Linked DNA regions of Canis lupus familiaris. The protein of the gene in region 1 interacts with the protein of each later gene in a biochemical or structural test. Links are inferred from orthologs where the notes say so. Each region holds a gene or a part of one and is shown on either strand. Other genes may lie near its edges.

Region 1 (4,201 bases):
ATGCATTTGAGAATACCGGCAAGTAGGTGTGTGATTTTGAAAAGCCCTTCCGGTGGTACTGACATGCCCCTTCAGTAGGGAATCCATGCACTACTATAAGCTACAAAGAGAGGACGTGTGATATTTGCTTTGATGGTGTATGATCACTCCTACTGCACGCACTCAGGACCAACACTTCAACTCAGAGCAAGAGACATTGTTTTGAGTGGGGCCTCTACTGGCTTCTCTCATTTGCAGTCGATCTCTGAAAACTCTGGCTGGGAATAAGACTGCTGCCCCCAAGCCCAGGTGGCTCATTTCCAGGAGGCCCACAGGCCTCCCCGCAGAGGTCCTGCCCGTAACACAGGATGGCGTGTTGCAAGAATGTCACATCAGAGGTTTTTACAAAACTCACTCTTAGGTTGCTGCATCCGTAAAGTCACATAACTGTCTGATTCCTTTTAAATTTATTTTCAACTGCAGGGAGTCACCTTTCCTTCCTCTTTTTTTGGGTGAGAGATTTTTTTTTTCATCTCTTTGCTAAGTTATTATTCATTAAATTGAAACCAAAGAGAAGAAAAGACATAATGAAGGACATAAAAGACATAACGAATTGAAAGAGAAATGGCCTGCCTTTTGTCCCCCCTGAGAGTTTATAGCAAATATTGCAAGCGAAGCAGGCGCCTAGCAGTTTATAGTCCAAACTAAACTTGCCGCAGATCCCACCTGCCTCTTGTCACACAAACCAACACACACACTCGAGTCAAGAAAACTTTTTTCTGTTTACTTATGTTAATCATCAAGCCAAAGCAAATAGCCTTCCACTTTCTGGATCCAGGGTAGCTATTAAATATGAAGACATCACAAATCCTCTAGATAAATAAAAGTGTGTGGGGGAGGACCCTATGTATTCTAGGCAGGAGCTGGACGATCGTGTACCAGAGAGTTGCATCAGCTGTCACATGTAACAAAGCTGGTTTTCCAACTTTGAACTTTCTCGGTTTCACACACCAGCACCACATCTGGTGAGCAGGAAATTGACTTTAAGTCCTCAATTTCGGATTTAAATCAACCACCAGTTTACAAGATCTGGGTTGAAATACTGTGCGACCATGGCTATGGGCTCATTTATTTATTCACTTGTCATGCATATCCTTGAGCCCTGAAACTCAAGGGAGATGACCCATAACTAAATAAAAGACCCCAGGCAACTCAATCTACAGTGAGGGGGAAGCTGAGTAAATAGGCAAAAATAATTACATGATATGTGTGCTAACTGAGGTTAGCACGAAGCAAGCCATGGGGGCAGAGAGGCAGTTACCAAGTAAGAGATACAAGATGTAGTGGGAAAGGAGAATGATTATCCACTTAATACCCTACTGCCCTTCTGCCCTCCTAACAGCACATAATCCCAAAAGGCTATAACAACTCGGCTACCTATTCCACTCCCTTGAAAAATTAGGGGATTGGGGACATAGGATCTCAAGAGAGTCCTTTCCAAGAAGCCTCCCACTCAGGGGAAACTGTTTACAAATGCGAAACTGTTTCCACGCCACTCAGGAAAAATCCCGGGACGAGGCCAGGCAGAAAAACTGCCTCAGCAACCCTCCAGCCAGAGCAGCCTGGAATCCAGACTGACCGGCCAAACACCTGGCACCAGAAGGGAACCAACTTCTGCATGAAGCTGCGGCACACTTCCCCAGCCCTTGGCACAACTCCCCCAGCGTAATAACCCGGGTTTCCAGTCTGCGAGGAGGGAAGTCCGGGAGGATGAGGGGGCTTGGGGGGCGGGGGGGTCCACGCACACGGCCACGCCTCTCCATCCTCTTTGGGGGGGACTGAATGAACCCTTTAAATCAGATCGCCCAGGCTTCTGAGAACATAGTGCCGAGGCACGAAGCTGCAGCAGAGTTGCGATTATTCATTCAGTGGGCTCTCCCCGCCGCGTGGACGGCTGCCCCGGGTTACACTCGGCCCCCACGCCTCACTCGGATTATCCGCGGGGAAACAGGACACGCGGTGCACTAAGCCTGCTCGCCCTGCCCCTTCACACACCCCTGCAGGGTCCCGGCCTGCAAGAGCTCCCGGGTTAGGGCCGCGGGGTCAGGGACCTGGGTTAGGGGCGCGGGGTCAGGGACCTGGGTTGGGGACCCGGGGGCAGGGGGGCTAAAGCTGTCCCAGCTCCCCGCCGCCGGCCCCGGGGCTGCGCGGGCACGTGGGTGGGTGCGAGGGGGTGTGTGCGCGGCCGCCGGCGGGAGCCCCTACCTTCCAGCAGCACCTCCCTGCCCGCGCGCTTCAGCGCCTGCACCGCCTCGTCGTGGGTGGCGTCCCGCAGGTCGGCCCCGTTCACCGACAGGATGGCGTCGCCCACGTACAGGGCCTGGGTCTGGTCGGCCGCCAGCCCCTTGAAGATCTTGCTGATGAGGATGGGCATCTTGTTCTCCTTGCCTCCCTTGATGCTGATGCCCAGCCCGCCCAGCTCCTGCTTCAGCACCTTCACGCCGCGCTTCTGGTTGGAGATGGCCTCGGGCACCTGCTCGGGCAGGTCGGTGAAGGCGGTGCGGACCCCGGCCGGCGAGTCGGGGGGCTGCGCGCCGCCCGCGCCCCTGCAGAACGCGCCATTGGTGGCGGTGCCCAGGCCGTTGGACGCCGCGGCGCCCTCCTCGCAGCTCAGGACCAGCGCGTCCTCGCCCAAGTTCACCAGAACTTTGTGCCAGCGGTCCCGCACCAGAACTTCCAGCGGCCCGCTCCGCGGCGCGCGGCCGCCTCCCCCGCCGCTCGGGCCCGCCGCCGCCGCCGCCGCTACCGCCATCTTTCCGGCATTCTTAAAACGCCGTGCGATTGCCAAAGGGGGGAAGAGTGGGCACGGGCTGCGGGGAGGCCGCGGGCGCGGGGCGCGGGCCGGGCGCGGGGCGCCGCTCGGGGACTTGGCACGCGCGCCCGGCGCGAGGTGGCCGCCGCCGCGCGCTCCCCCTCGCCGGATCCTGCGCGGGGTGGAGCGACCTAAAAGAAGGAGAGACACACTCAGGGGAGGGGAAAGGAGGGGAAAGAAAAAAAAAAAAAAAAAAAAAAGCCAGCTGCCAGTTGCAAACGCGCCAACGGAGGGGAGCGGCGGCGCTCGGCGCCCGGAGGGTCGGGAGGAGGAGGCGCGCCCGCGGGGAGGGCGGGGGCCCGGCGGGGCCCGGCGGCCGCTCACCTGTTCCGGCCGCTCGCGGCTCCGACCCCCGGCCCCGCCCCCTCCCCGCCCCGCGGGCGCCCACGCCGCGCCTTGGCCCGGACCCCTCGCCCTGCCTGGGGCCCGCGCTCCACGCCCCGGAGCCCGCCCCACTGTCCCTGGGTCCCGCCCCCCCCCCCCCACGCCCCAGCCGTACCCAGACCCAGACCCTCCTCGCTCCGGCTTCCGCAAACCGAGGCTTGGCTTCTCCCGCCGAGCTCTTCCTCACCTGGCTCCCCTCCGCGCCGGGGTTCCCAGGTAGACTCGGATGGAGGCCCCGGGTTCTCCGAGAGTCCAGAGGGACGGCTGTCCCGAGAGCTCAGGATGGAGCGTCAGCATAGCCCGAGGGCCCGAAACTTCCTCTCTCGAAATGCAGGCAGGACTTCTTTCCTCCGGATCCCTGGAGAGGCGCGTGTGCTGGCCGGTGGCTTTCAGCAGGTCACTGCCTGCCCCCGACCCCAGACCCCGGGACCTGACGCCTTCCCAGCTTCAACACTCCGTAGGCAATCTGCGTCTCTGTCTGGTCCCCGCCCCCACCCCACCCAGGGCCATTCCAGTTGTTTCCTGGGACTTTCTCTTTCTTCCCAAAATCCAATGTAGGAGGTCCCACCGTTTGAGAACTCGGTGGCAGTGGACTGTATCTGCAAAGTTCCCTTACTTGTTTGGACTAGTTACTAGTTACTCATTGTTCCAGGGGGACGGTATTATTATAGTTGGTCACCTTACCAGGCCAATCAAGAAATGCCAACCTAACCCCAGTCACGGCTGAACCCCCTCAGAGTGTTCCGGGTCCTTGAACCTCTGAGGTTCTCCTCCCGCCGTAATCAGGTGTCATGGGCCTCCCCACCAGTTTTAAGTCTTATCCCCCTCCCCCCAACTTTTCATCTCTCTCCCCGCTGTCTAAAATCAAAACAAAGCAAAACTCACAAGTAACCCAGCAAGGTTAGAAATCTTACCAAACACATTCCCACTGATGTGTATCACCATTGACATCACCGAACATTCTCT
Region 2 (2,871 bases), on another chromosome or scaffold:
TCCACGCTCAGCGAAATCTGCTTGAAACCCTCTGTCCCCCTCTGCCCCTTCCTGCCTGGTGCCCGAGCGCACACACTCTCACTTGCGCTCTCTTAACATGTAGATCTTTAAAAAGGAAAGTGGGGCAAAGAGAGGCCACCAGAAGTTCAAGAGGTGAGAGTGGAAGTCTGGGGCACAAGGGGGTGCAGAAGGGCCGCAGGATGGCCCAGGTCTCTGGCCAGCACTGGTGCCGGGCCTGCAGGGTAAGTGCTCACAACTGCCCGCAGCTGGGGGCTGCTACCCAGTTTCCAGAACTCTCCTCCGCACTTGTTTGTGCTGAACCCCCTGCCCGGAACGTTCTTTCATCCTTCAGCTCCGGCCAGAGGGCCCATTGGCCAAGAAGCCCCCTGCCCGCTGGCTGTCTGCTGTATTCCTCACCGGGCCTGCGTCCCAAGGTCGGGGGACCCGGGGCTATGAGCCCTGACCACCTGTGCTGGGCTCACGGGGTCCAGCCACCGCCCCTGCCCAGAGCCCCCCACTCACGCTTCCACTCGTCCAGCGTGCGGTCCACATCATCAAAGGACTCGTCGTACTTCTGGGCCTTGGGCTCCTCCTCCGTGTCCTGCAGGGACTCGAAGTACGGGTGGGTCAGCGCCTCGGCCGCCGTCACCCGCTGCTCTGCGTCCAGCACCAGCATCTTCTCCAGGAGGTTCACGGCTGTGGGCAGCGCCGGTCAGGGAGGGCCCAGGGCCCACTGTCCAAGTCACTGACCCAGCTCCCCTGAGTCCCATCCTACCCAGGGGGCTTGCGTTAGTCAGGATGGAGGCAAAATCCTTCTTCTGCAACTCGGGGAGGCCCTTCATGTAGTTCTTCGCCTTTTCAGGAAGAAAGGGTGAGGGGCCACGCCACAGCCCCAGCCCAGCCCCGCCGCCCACGCCCAGCTCCCAAGTGACCTCGGCACTCTGCAGCCTCTGCACGAACTCGGCGGGAGGCGTCCCTGTCACCTTCATGATCTCCTTCAGCTGGTCCAGGTCTGTGCTGAGGTGAGGAGCATAGCACGGGCCAGAGAGTGGGGCTCCCCCCAAGCTGGGGCAGCGTACCCAGCACCCACCCAGGCCCAGCCCGGCCCCCACATGTGTAGGATACGGTCACTGCCCTTGAACAGTGTCTTCCCCGTGATCATCTCTGCCATGATGCAGCCCGCGGACCAGATGTCCACTGAGTCAGAGGCCCCATGTCAGCGCTCGGTGGGCCAGGGAGGGTGGGACATGCGTGCGGAGGGACACAGACACAGCGGCAGTCCAGCCTTCCACCCCTCGCCCGGCTCCCATCCCTGCACAGCCGCCCCCCACGAGGAGCCACTGTGGGGCTTCCCCTGAAGAGGGGCAGCGGCGGCGCCACCTGGGAGGCCACGGCTGGGGGTGGTTCTGGGCAGCGCCCCACCTGTCTGCGTGTAGCGCATCCAGTTCAAGATGACCTCAGGCGCCCGGTACCACCGGGTCACCACGTAGCCAGTCATCTCGCTATCTGCCTGCCTGGCCAGGCCGAAGTCCAGGATCTGGTGGGAACCGGGAAGGCGGGGCCCGGGGCCCCCGGGAGTAGGTGGGCCAGCCTGTGACCCAGAACTGGGCACGCGGGGCCTCCTGCCAACCCTCCAGGACCCGAGGTCCTGGCCACGGACTCTCTGAGCCTCCCCGTGAGCTCCTCTGCGTGGCCAGAGCGCCCAGCCCCACTGACCTGGCTTCCACCACCCTCAGGAGCAGCGCCCCGTGGGTCTCCTTCCCTGCTGCTCTGCTCCCCGCTGACCCCGGGACCTGGCCAGCACATTGTAGAGGCCCCCTTGGCCCTACCCTGGCTCAGGCCTGGGGGCCTGGGGACACCTCCCGCCCTTCACCTCATGAGGTATGGCGTGTGCCCGATGCCCTCCTGGCCCAGACGGCGGGGGTTGGGTCCCTCTGCCTGAAGGCCAAGGGTAACCGGCAGATGGACAGGTGAGGAGACCCCCTGCCCCCCTCCTCCCCCCAACACACACCTTCAGCTCACAGTCCTCATTCACTGCCAGATTGCCGGGCTTCAGGTCCTGGGGACAGAGGAAGCATGGCCGTGCGGCCCCTGCCCCCGGGGGGGCACAAGGGCAGGGCCGGGGCACCTGAATGGGGAAGCAGCCACACTGGGCCAGCCCTGGCCGCAGCCCTTCCAGAGCGGGTGAAGGTCCCTGGGGACCCACAGCTGGCATCACACACACTCCCCACCGGACCCCAGCACAGGGGTCCTGGAGCTCAGGCCCCCCGCGCCTCCCTGCAAAGGAAGCTCCCACCAGGACTCACCCTGTGGATGATGCCGGCGGCGTGGATGTACTATGGGGACAAAGATAGGGTCCGCGGCGGTCAGCTCTCTGGGAGCAGCGTGCTCCCCAGCCCCAGCCTGGCCTGAGGGTGTCGCCCTCCCACACCCCCTCTCCCACCTTTAGCCCCTTCAGCATCTGGTACACAAGGAACTGGATTCGATCCTCACTCAGCTTCTCGTGCTTCATGAGCTTGCCCAGGTCAGTTCCCATGAATGGCATCACCAGGTAACTGAGAGGACAGGTGGTGCAGACAGCAGGTGTCGCACCCACTGGAGACCCCGGAGATCGCCCCGCAGCACCAGGCTCCACCCACCTGTCCAATGCCCCCCCGCAGCTCCTCCTCCCACCCAGCCCCAGAATGTCAGGTTCGTCAGGACCACACTGTGGTGCTCCCTGCAGGGCACATGGAGGCTGGGATCTGGGGAGCACCAGGGATCACAGGCAGAAGAGGGTGCAAGAGAAAGGAAAGCCTGCAGGTAGGGGCGGGGACGGCAGGACACATGGTCAGAGCGGCAGGCTGGGCAGGTGGAGGGAGAGAGACAGCG
Region 3 (3,516 bases), on another chromosome or scaffold:
TGCCTACCCCTCACGAGTGTATGTTCCAAGTTACATGCAGCTTCCAGTTCTAGAAACCTTTTCTAACGGTCTCCCAGTTATGGTTCCAGGTAGCAGAAAGTCTCATCAGGAGGGGGTGGGATTTTGAAGTGTTGCCATTCCTGCAACATGAGGAATTTCAGTGGCTGAGCAAAAGGCCTGCTTGGATTTCTGTGTTTTGCTTTTGCATTTTAGGGAGGGAAGAGAAATGAGAGAATTTAGAGGGCTCAGTATAAGCACCTCTCACTCTTAATCAGCTTTACTCAGATGGATCATTCATAACAGTAACACTCTGATTGCTGCAACATGTTGGGAAAAATTAGAATTTGGCCTATTTGTCAGCCTGTCAACCAGGATTCTGGTAGATTCCATTTTGAAGTCTCGGTATGACAGTTGAGTCTGGATTGAGTTCTGATTAAAAGAAATCCCTGGTTATTACTTTCTGGATTAGTAACTAAAATCCTTTTAAAATCAATGAAGGCAGCTCATTGTGAGGAGTCACTTAGGCTTTTAATTTGATTTACATATTAAGTAAGAATTATTGGAGGGTTCTATTCTCTAGCACCAGGTACTAATGTTCATCCTCAAAGAAGTCATGTGCGTGAATTAATCAAATCTAACAGTATGAAGAAATAATGGTTTAAAATGGAGAGGGTTTTTTTTTTTCAAATTTATTTTATATATGCAAATACTTTTTTTACTCAGTTAGTTGCATTTTCAAATTAAGATCATCCTCATTTTCACCCATGTTCTTATCTTCAAAATTTATATTATAAAGTATTATGCTGATATAACACATGTCTTCATTCTCCATGTATTTATTTTTTAAGTTAAAAAAGTGATAATATTCTTTTTGAACTTATTTGTCTTTTGTTTGCTGGATACTTTGTGCACATGTGTACATATAAGTGAGTGTGGATGTGTGTGTGTGCAAGTAGAAGAAAATTCATTTTCTTTCAATTTCATTTAACACTAAAAATAAAATTTGGACAGGGTATTCTTATTGGATTAAACAGACTCCTTCTAACTACTTGAACCAGGGGTTTGGGATTCAGATCTCTATAACCAAGACTGGAAGTCACTGGAAGACTTTAAAATTATTTTAACCATGACAGCCCGAGTCATGAATGGAAATAAACCCATTGCATGGATTTTTTATAGGCATAATCTCAGAATTTAACTATCCAAACAAGGTTTAAAAAACAAACTTATAAAAATTTGCCATTGAGGAAAGTCTGATCTCCATCCTTAATTATGACTCCTCATTTCAAGTAAAAACTTTCCCGAAATTTTGAAAAAAAAAAAAAAACTCCTAAGAAAGTCATAAACACTGAAATCAGAGATGTGATTCTTGTTAAATATTAGTTTCTCTTTCTGAGGGATTGTTCCCTGTTTCTGTACTTTTGATGTCAATGTCATGAGGTTTAGATTTGTTCAGGGGTTCAGACTCTTTGGATTCAGGTATATTCAATGATTTCATCCTTCCTTCTTCCTGCTTCTTTTCCTTTGCAAGCAATCTGTAGTTTATAGCGTTGCCAATGAGCAGCCACACACTTGATAGGAACACAATAGTTCCGCAGGCTATATACATGTATTTATACTGTCCAGTTTCATCCACCAATTTACCTAAGAGACAGAGAACATAATAAAACAACCAGAAAATGATAACATGTTCCAATAAATTCTTCTACAAAGTATGTACTTATTTCTTATTTAAGTTAATATTAAATGAGATTTTAACAAAAAATATTACAGATTATGAATTCTATATATGCATAGAAAAGGCAATTATGGACACACACAGCATTATATTACCAGCATATTAAGTTTACTAAAGACTATTCCCCTCAATAAAAATGTACAACCAAGACAAAGTAGGTATATATTCTTAAATACATGTATGTGTGAGACATGTTTTTTGTATCTATGTGTATCTAGATATATTTATCTATTAATATTTACCATTGAGACTGCTTCATCCTTTCCAAGCTTTTCAATAAAAATGAAAAAATTATATTTTTTATTTAAGAAAGACCCAAAGGCTTTTTTAAGGTTCTTGACATGCTTTTTCTATGTCCAGCACTAGGCATAGAAACATTTTTCTTTTTAAGATTTTTAATTTATTTATTTGAGAGAGAGAGAGACAGTGGATGAACATGAACAGGGAGTGCGAGGGGAGAGAGGGGGAGAAGCAGGATCCCCACTGAGCAGGAAGCCCAACGCAGGGCTTCATCCTGGGCCCCTGGGATCATGACCTGAGCGACACAGAGGCTTAGCTGACGGAGCCACCCAGGGGCCCCTAGGCTAAACACTTTTAAATGGGGTAATATCTAATTTAATCCTTACAAGAGCCTGATGAAGTAATCTGAATGTGGCCACATAGCCAGTGAGTGGCAGAATGAGGAGTCTAACCAAGGTCCCTGAATCTCAGGTTCTTAACTACTCTGCAAAAGAGCTTCACCACACCTTTTGGTTAAGAGTCAGACCATAACTTTTTGGGCTAAAAGCAATTTAGTTTATCTGACTCTAAATTATTAAAGCCAGACTAATCAGGAAGAAAATATTTATTACATTTGATTATTGGGAACATTTAAAAACTAGCCTAATATCATATAACCTGAACGTTTAGTGACTTTTTTTTTTTTTTTTTTGAGTGAGAGTAGCGGGGGATAGGAGGACGCACAGAGGGAGAGGGAGACAGAGACTCTTAGGCAGGCTCTGTGCCCAATGTAGCTACACCTGACGTGGGGCTCTATCTCATAACCCTGAGATCATGACCTGAGCTGAAACCAAGAGTCGGGCACTCAATCAACTGAGCCATTCAGGCACCCTGGTTTATTGACTTGTAAAAATAATTCAGCTTTACTTAATTTTGCCTCTTGGTTATGCAGGTACCTAAATCTTAACAATGATAGTATATACAAATCTATATTATTTATTATATGTATATTCTAGGTGATTCTGATATAGGCCTGATTCTTTAATCAGAATCTCATTCATTCTGGATAGAATCTAGTTAGTGGCTCAGTATTAAATTTAGCTACTTATGAAATTGCCTATTTGAGCAAAGTCCTCTGTTTAATTAGTTAAATGGTGGAGTCGGCTTATTTAAGTGTGCCATATAGATAAACATAACAAAAATGTATAATTTAAATTTCCATTCTAGTGCTAGTCAAATATTTCTATTCATACAATGATTCTTATACTTCTAAATACATAAACATTAGGTCTACGTCCCTATCAGAGTTAGTATCACTTTGGGCTGCCATATCAACATACTTTCTAAATGTGTGGGGAGTATTTTAGCATCATCAAGAAACCAGATATGATTTCCAGAACTAAAGCTTCAGCTCTTGTGAGTACAGCACAGAAAGTCTGAGCTGAAAAAAAACAAAACTAAAAATCATACTCTATCTCCTACTGCTCTACTAACAAGAGTGGCGGCAGCAGCAGCAACTGTGTGAATAGTAACTACAATGATACTCATTCATTCAGAAG
Region 4 (3,516 bases), on another chromosome or scaffold:
TAACCCCCAAGGCTCTCAGCAGAGAGGGCAGGCTGTGAGTACCTGGTTGCCTCCACTCTTGGGGTTCACAAACACCAGCAGGGGCTTCATGAGGGGTGACGGGGTGGGCCTGATGATGAAGGGTCTCCAGCGGCCCTCCTTGGAGATGGAGAGACTATGAGGCTCCAGCCTGTCTTGGCAGACCTCGCCCCTGTTCTCGGCGGTGGCCCCTCCCATAACCACCTCCAGGGCAGACCTCAAGGTGGGCCTGGCCACAGTCTCCTACTTTCCTCAAGGGCCCAGAGCCCGGCACTTGGAGGAACAGGCCCCTCTTTCCTGTTCCCCTCCCGCTGTCTGTCGGGCCCCAGGACTAACCTCTGGCCCTTTCTTGCTCGATTTCCTCTTGAAGGATGCTCTCTTTTTCTTCTTGCTTGCCTTGAGGGTATTCTGCAAGGAAAGCCGGGGTGTTGGTGACAAGGAAGGTGGGCTGGGACGGCTGGCAGAGCCCGAGCATGGGGGTGGTATCACAGCCGCGGGCAGGACTCACCTGGGGCCTGCGGGCACGGAGGATCCAGGTGGGCGGGATGACCACAGCAGCGTGGACACCCAGGGAGCACGGCTCCTCTATCTGCTGCAGCATGAAGCAGGACACCTTGCTGTGGTACTAGAGAATAGGGGGCGCAGGTGAGCTGAGGCCTCAGCTGTTTGGGGGGGGGGGGACACACCCAGAGCAGCCAGGGAAGGGAGGGGCGAGCACCACTCACCGCTTGCTTGCACCAGGAGCAACTGATGGCCACAATCTCCTTGCTGTGGAAGGTGAACTTCTGCTGGAAGCCCTAGGGTAGGAAGCAGGCAGTGGGTGGTTGGGGCCCCAGGGAAACTGAGCACATTTTTTTTTTTTTCACATTAAAAAAAAAATCTGTAAGATAAGCCCCTGGAGCCGGGCGGCCTGCCACTCTACAAGGTTAACCTGAAGTTACCCGCGAGGCGCTGGGTGCACATACCCAATCTGTTGCGAAGGGTCCACAACTGACTCCTGCCAGCTCAGATGCCCTCCTTCCTGAGCCCATACCCCAAGGCCCCCTGGTATATGCTTCGAGGCATCTATCACATTCATTCCCTTGTTCATCCCACAACATTGATCAAGGGCCTGCCGTGTGCCGGACACTGTGCTCGGGACTGAGAATGAACAGAGGAAAGAGACAGGGCCCCAAGACCTTCTAGAACCTATGCTTCCTGAGGGATACAAACCAGAAGCACACAAGGAACAAGTGACCACCACACCGTGCACTGCACTCGGGGAAGACCGCCCACAGTGTGTCTTCAGGCCACAGTCTCCTGCAGGAAGGGCAGAGGCCTCACTACCTAGCCCTGAGTACAGCACCCAACAGGTGCTCAACAAATGTCCTCAGTGACCAAACAAGTAAGTCTATGAAATTCTCAGAGGGCTCAACCACGACTTTGAGGCAGTCCAGATACACTGAACCAAAGGTAACTTTCTTCCCTGCTCTCCTGCTCTGTGTAGAGACCTGAGCGTTTGGAGCTGACTGGGCACCTCAGCCAGGGTGGGAGTGAGCCCCAGGACTCTGCACTCAGGAGACAGTGTCAGTGATGGGCAGACCGGATGCTCGGCCTGAGGCTTGGGGGCTGCGGGGTCCAGGCCCAGGGGCAGCAGGCTGGCCAACCAGCCTGGGCAGAGCCTCACCTTCCCACAGTGCCGACACTTGCCATCCTGACGTCGTCTGTGTACCCAGTGGTGCCGCACGAAGGTTGGCTGGAGGAGGAGAGTATCACTGGAGTGAGGAGTGGGAGAGGCACAAGCCTGAAGCATGGCCTGCACCGCTCCATATATTAATGGGAGGCGTGGGGCCGCAGCAAGTTCTCCACAGAAGTGTGTGTGAGGTGAGAGGGCTGGAGAGCGAGGAGGCCCAAGAGGCAGGCATTGTGCCTCACCCGTTCTGCAGGCAAGGCCAGGCCTTCCCCCACTGAGACCCTCTCAGAGCCTCAGCCCTGCACGTCCCTGAGCCCCAGAGCGGCTGGGTCCCCTGGTGGCACTCTACAGACACCGTGGAGAAGCCCACTCGGGAAACTCAATGCCTCCTTACCCATAACTACCCTAGGCACTTACCTCACGGATGTTCCTGGAGCCTGATTCACGGAAGGATGGTTTACAGCGGAAATTTATCTGTGAAACATTGCAATGACCACCCAACTGTTAGAACCTCCTTTCAGGCAGTCAGGCATCTATCCACCTTCTCTAAGAAAGTGTCATTCGGAGTCATCTTCACAAGGTAGTGATAGCCCCAAAGCCTCCTGGGAACCATCAGAATATGAGACACCTCTTCTCAGAAGCCCTCCTGTTTCTCCGCCTCCTCTCCACTATCCAGAAGGGCTCTTCCTTCCTCTGTTAGTATCCTGGGATGGGGGACACTGGGAGTTTTGCGTCCACCTCCCTGCCTCTTCCCATACTTCCCCTTGCCCTCCAGTGCTCCCAACCTAGGCACGGGAAGGCACCCTGATCCTTGCTTGCAGACTCGCGCGGGCTGATCCCTGGAGACCATGAGCTCATTTGTGGAAACTGGTCCGATTTCCACCTTGGGCTCTATAATGCCTGGGGCTACGTTTGTTTCTCTTTTCCCAACTGTCTTTGCTCCAGCCTTAGCTGGAGCACCCAAGTTGCCAAGGGAAGCCTCACTCTCTGAGTTAAGGGCTGGGGCAAGTGGCCCACGTTACCCTTGCTCACGCTGGTCCTAGTCTTACAGGCTTTCCCATGTGCTGATGGGTTTCTGCTGCCTGGGGAGCCCTCCCACCCTCTGCCTGGACCTGCCTACCCAGGGTTCCCCCAACTTCCCTCTAGAAGCACAGGGCCCAGACGTGGCACCAGCTGTAGACACACTGTGGACAACAGTCCCTAGGGAAAGGTCTCTAGAGCAGCAGCATATAGGGGACAGAGCCAAGCTTCGGCAAGACAATGGCCCCTTCTAAATGCTAACTTAGGTGCGGATAAAATGGTGTTTTGGCCGTCACTTATTTATTCATCCCACCGAATAACAGTCAGTGAGCACCACTCTGTGCCAGGATTGTTCTGGGCAGTGGGGACAGAGGAGCTTATGGGGGGAGACAGGATTCAAAGGCAGACATTTCAGCCCCAAGGTCTTTGGCTCTTCACCACACAATGCTTGTAACGTGAATATGCGTGCAGAGATACACGCGTGCGTGTACTAAAATGACTTCAGCACTCAATAGGGAGGAGCAGGAAAGGCTGAGGACCCATACTCACCTTCTCTAGCTGCTCGATGCAGGGGGTGTGCACCACGATCTTGCAGGCTGCACACTTTCTCCGGGACACTGACTTCTGCTACAGAAAACAAAGAGAGGGCCCTGAGGCACCAGGTAACTCCCTCCAGGATGCTGCCCCAGGCAGAAAGAGAAATCCTTACATCTGCCCCAGCACAGCCGGGAATTCTGTGTTCACTGGGAATTCCCAGTCCTGGCGTCAGAAAGAACACAGCCCCCATTCCCTCTGCCATCCTCAGG
Region 5 (3,516 bases), on another chromosome or scaffold:
ATTAAACAGGAATACTTGTAGTCTGTCTAAAATTTCTAAATTAAAGAGATTTCCATTATTTACTACCAAGTTTAACTTTACAAAGAAAATTGTATCCTTGCAATTTCAGATCACTTATGATAAAAAAAATACTTGTGTATAAGTAACTAAACCCCTTTACCTTATAAATATCCAAAAATCCACACTGGTGGTCAAACCTGGTATACAGTTCATTCAGCATGCTGATCACCTGCATGGGAGTACACTGGGCACATATGGCTGTGAAGCCAACAATGTCCGAGAAGAGCATGGTAACGTCATCAAACTTTCTTGCCTGCACCTGCTGCCCTTGCCACAGCTGCTGGGCTACATCACCAGGGAAAATAGAATACAGAAGATCCACTGTTTTCTTTTTTTCTTCTTCCAGGGCCTGATGAGTTCTTTCCAAAGTTGCCTTTAATTTATCCATCCTCTTCTTCAAGCCATCTTGTGCCTTTGCCTGTTCACCAACCAGAATGACATCTCGGGTGGCATCATGAATAGGGATGTCTGAGAGATGCAGCCCTCGGCCCATGAGTTCATCCAACTTGTCCACACATGGAGAGCCCAAGAATAAAATGGAATTTGATTCTGGGACATGGATCATCTGTCCTTTGACTTCCATCACCTGCAAAATTAACATGAAATTTTAATCAGTGCTCTTCACATAGTAGGTTCACAAAAAAAGTTAATTTACTATCTGATGAAGAGAAGGAACAAGAAATGTATATTAGCTATGCTGAATTTCTGCATTCATATGAGCAAATTTGAATATGGTTGGCAACCTGTGTAAAATTCATGGTTCTGAACAGAAATCTTTGTTATTATGCCCCACTTTGCTACTTCCTAAAGACAATGATGAAATGATGAGTGAGATCAATGAGAAATGAACCTGAAAAACATTTTTTATTCAAAATGAAATTACACTCAGGCTCATCATGAAATTGGCTCATGAGTCAATTTAGCACCTTTCAACCTGCTTAATAATAAAATTAGGATAAATCCATCTGTCAAAACAACTGTATTCAAGTCATTAAAATAACACTCAGGGAAAAAAAGTCCAGAAATTCAAATAAATCAAAATAATTGTTTGGCCTTACATAAGTCATTTTTCAAGGCTTGTAGACCTTTGAATATATAGTAGTTCTTGCACTGACTTACAGAATGATTCACTTTATCTTTAAAAATAAAAATTTAAACTAGATGTGATTATGTCTGTATTATCAGGAAGTAATTTTCAATCAAATATCATGTTCACTATGAGCTGAAAATATACCCCCTAAATCAGAATAACACTAAAGGAATTCAGTTAGGAAGATAAAGAATCTGAAGATGCACTACTTTAAATTGGTCCCTCCTTTCTGTATTCTTTGACTACAGAACTTGGGCGACTGATGTTTCATGTGTTCCATCAGTGGACGCAAACTGATGCTAGCTTAGCATGGCACCCTATGAGCCATTCCAAGGGAAGGAGCGGCAGCAGGAAAGGAAATGCACTTAGGATGTTGCTGTACAGTGGGACTCAGTGGCTCAGTCAGTTAAGCATCTGCCTTCGGCTCAGGTCATGATCCCAGGATTGGGATAGAGTCCCACATCAGCCTCTACACTTGGTGAGGATCCTGTTGCTCCCTTACCCTCTGCTTATCCCTCCCCTGCTCATGCTATCTCTCCCTCTCTCTCTCTGTCAAATAAATAAAATCTTTAAAAAATAATAAAAATAAAAAAAGGATGTGGCTGTACAGAGTTATCTGGGCCAGAGTAAGGTATCTCCTGGAAAGGAGAGAGGTGGTAATGACCTAGAAAGAACAGCCCAAGAGTTGACCACCAAGAGTGCATATCTGTTTAACCTATATCACCTTCCACTGCCACATGGATGTGGCTCATTAAATTTATTTTCCTTTATTATTTGTAGCATGAAGTAGTTTGGCTGGCTGATGAAACTGAAGGCATAGAACAAACATACAGTAAAACTGAGAGATTTGGATGTGTAGGCCTGCATCTATGTTTTACATGATTCCACCTGTACCATTCATCAAGATTCAGTACAGACATGGAAATAAAATCAGGTCCTCCCTTGACACTATAATTTTTATGAAATGAAATGTTTGCTTTATCTTAAGTGAAGTTACCACGAGTGTTCAGTATTTCCTCCTCTGATACCTAGTACTCTCATTTCTTCAATGAAATATTTATTGTTTCCTATTTACTCACACTGCTCTAGGTCATTAGCATAAAAAGATAAAAGAATATGCCCCTTCTCAAGGATACATAGGATGGTGATGGAGGCCAGAAAATGGTGTGCAGAAGACACTCCCAATCCCTCCCCCCGCCGCCCACCACCACCACCAAGGGCAGTTTCCCAAGGCTGCAGGCTATGGCCTGAGTACAGACAGAGATGACTGTTCTGAGAATATCCAGGCTGTGTCCTGTGTGCTGTGCCTGGCAGGCTGTGTTGAGAGGACTGCTGTTAATGGCACATGCTTGCCCACCATCGGGATGGTGAAGGTGTCATAAGGAAGATACACAAAATCTACAACATCAAAGCTAAAAATTGACCATGATCCATTTATTCATAAAGTTTAAGTTTTGTAAAAGCAAATCTCTGATGCTCAGAGATCTAAATCTAGATTTAGACGTATGTGGTCTCTCTCTCTCTCTCTCTCTCTCTCTCTCTCTCTCCCCCCTCACATTTCAGATGTTTTCTTCTTCTCCATCTTACTTTTTTCTCCCTTCTCCCCTTTGTTTTATGGACTTATACTTCCAGCATCCTCTCTTCACTTGGTCTTTGTCTCTCCTGCTGCCTGTCTCTCTCTCTTATGAGCACTCCCTGCCCCTCCCTCTTTCCTCATTACTTCATTCTCTTCCAAGACATCAACCTCCACGTGTCCCATCACAAATGGACCCCTTTCTCCCTTGCCACCATCTCTCTTTATGTCAGATACAGAATCAGCCTATGGTACATGCACTAACAACATTATGTATTATTTGCTATATGTAATAAACAATAGCGTTTTTGTTTAACTTAAAAGAAGCTGAGTCGAATATCTGCAATTCCTAGCTCAAAAATATAAAACATAAATAGGTTCTTGATCTATACGTGGCCATTAGCTGTTTGGGTGGTTTTTATTTTGAAATCTCTGAATCAACAGAGTCTGAGGAAAAAGTGATTGCTTACCTCCTACACTACAGAATAACAACTCATAAGATAAGCCCCAATGTACATGTAAATAACTTTTAATATTTTTTCATCAGTGAATTTTTCCCTTATTTAATAAATGGGCAAATATAACTGAAGCATTTGTGTCTCTATCATAAATGTGTTTTTACTTTAATTGGTAATAACATAAATTATTCCTTTTGAATTACATTTGTACCATTATAATCATAAATTCAGGAATTCACCATCATCTTCACTTGTTCATTTAGCAATGTGCAGAATTATTATAGAAATTATATATTCTTATGTATAGGAAGCAGATTTATGGGAAAATACATAAA

The links.
Region 2: the proteins of SNTB1 (region 1) and MAPK12 interact in a test that uses a peptide from one of them, tested with the Homo sapiens proteins (2 studies listed by IntAct, with this or other methods). The link is inferred for Canis lupus familiaris from reciprocal best matches to the Homo sapiens genes SNTB1 and MAPK12.
Region 3: the proteins of SNTB1 (region 1) and SLC16A7 interact in a test that uses a peptide from one of them, tested with the Homo sapiens proteins (2 studies listed by IntAct, with this or other methods). The link is inferred for Canis lupus familiaris from reciprocal best matches to the Homo sapiens genes SNTB1 and SLC16A7.
Region 4: the proteins of SNTB1 (region 1) and DGKZ form a complex in vitro, tested with the Homo sapiens proteins (2 studies listed by BioGRID and IntAct, with this or other methods). The link is inferred for Canis lupus familiaris from reciprocal best matches to the Homo sapiens genes SNTB1 and DGKZ.
Region 5: the proteins of SNTB1 (region 1) and GUCY1A2 interact in a test that uses a peptide from one of them, tested with the Homo sapiens proteins (2 studies listed by IntAct, with this or other methods). The link is inferred for Canis lupus familiaris from reciprocal best matches to the Homo sapiens genes SNTB1 and GUCY1A2.

The regions. Positions count from the first base shown.
Region 1 is NC_049234.1:20,013,703-20,017,903, forward strand, and holds the start of SNTB1 (beta-1-syntrophin), read right to left. Parts: upstream 2,807-4,201; 5' UTR 2,792-2,806; coding exon 2,245-2,791; intron 1-2,244. UniProt on the Homo sapiens protein: Adapter protein that binds to and probably organizes the subcellular localization of a variety of membrane proteins. May link various receptors to the actin cytoskeleton and the dystrophin glycoprotein complex.
Region 2 is NC_049231.1:17,896,270-17,899,140, reverse strand, and holds part of MAPK12 (mitogen-activated protein kinase 12), read right to left. Parts: intron 2,556-2,871; coding exon 2,444-2,555; intron 2,337-2,443; coding exon 2,307-2,336; intron 2,060-2,306; coding exon 2,012-2,059; intron 1,538-2,011; coding exon 1,423-1,537; intron 1,198-1,422; coding exon 1,126-1,197; intron 1,013-1,125; coding exon 933-1,012; intron 855-932; coding exon 776-854; intron 697-775; coding exon 523-696; intron 1-522. UniProt on the Homo sapiens protein: Serine/threonine kinase which acts as an essential component of the MAP kinase signal transduction pathway.
Region 3 is NC_049231.1:3,852,237-3,855,752, reverse strand, and holds part of SLC16A7 (monocarboxylate transporter 2), read right to left. Parts: intron 1,645-3,516; coding exon 1,373-1,644; 3' UTR 1-1,372. UniProt on the Homo sapiens protein: Proton-coupled monocarboxylate symporter. Catalyzes the rapid transport across the plasma membrane of monocarboxylates such as L-lactate, pyruvate and ketone bodies, acetoacetate, beta-hydroxybutyrate and acetate.
Region 4 is NC_049239.1:43,521,733-43,525,248, forward strand, and holds part of DGKZ (diacylglycerol kinase zeta), read right to left. Parts: intron 3,338-3,516; coding exon 3,260-3,337; intron 2,165-3,259; coding exon 2,108-2,164; intron 1,754-2,107; coding exon 1,685-1,753; intron 816-1,684; coding exon 744-815; intron 644-743; coding exon 527-643; intron 427-526; coding exon 355-426; intron 139-354; coding exon 43-138; intron 1-42. UniProt on the Homo sapiens protein: Diacylglycerol kinase that converts diacylglycerol/DAG into phosphatidic acid/phosphatidate/PA and regulates the respective levels of these two bioactive lipids.
Region 5 is NC_049226.1:25,514,183-25,517,698, reverse strand, and holds part of GUCY1A2 (guanylate cyclase soluble subunit alpha-2), read right to left. Parts: intron 647-3,516; coding exon 161-646; intron 1-160. UniProt on the Homo sapiens protein: Has guanylyl cyclase on binding to the beta-1 subunit. Isoform 2 acts as a negative regulator of guanylyl cyclase activity as it forms non-functional heterodimers with the beta subunits.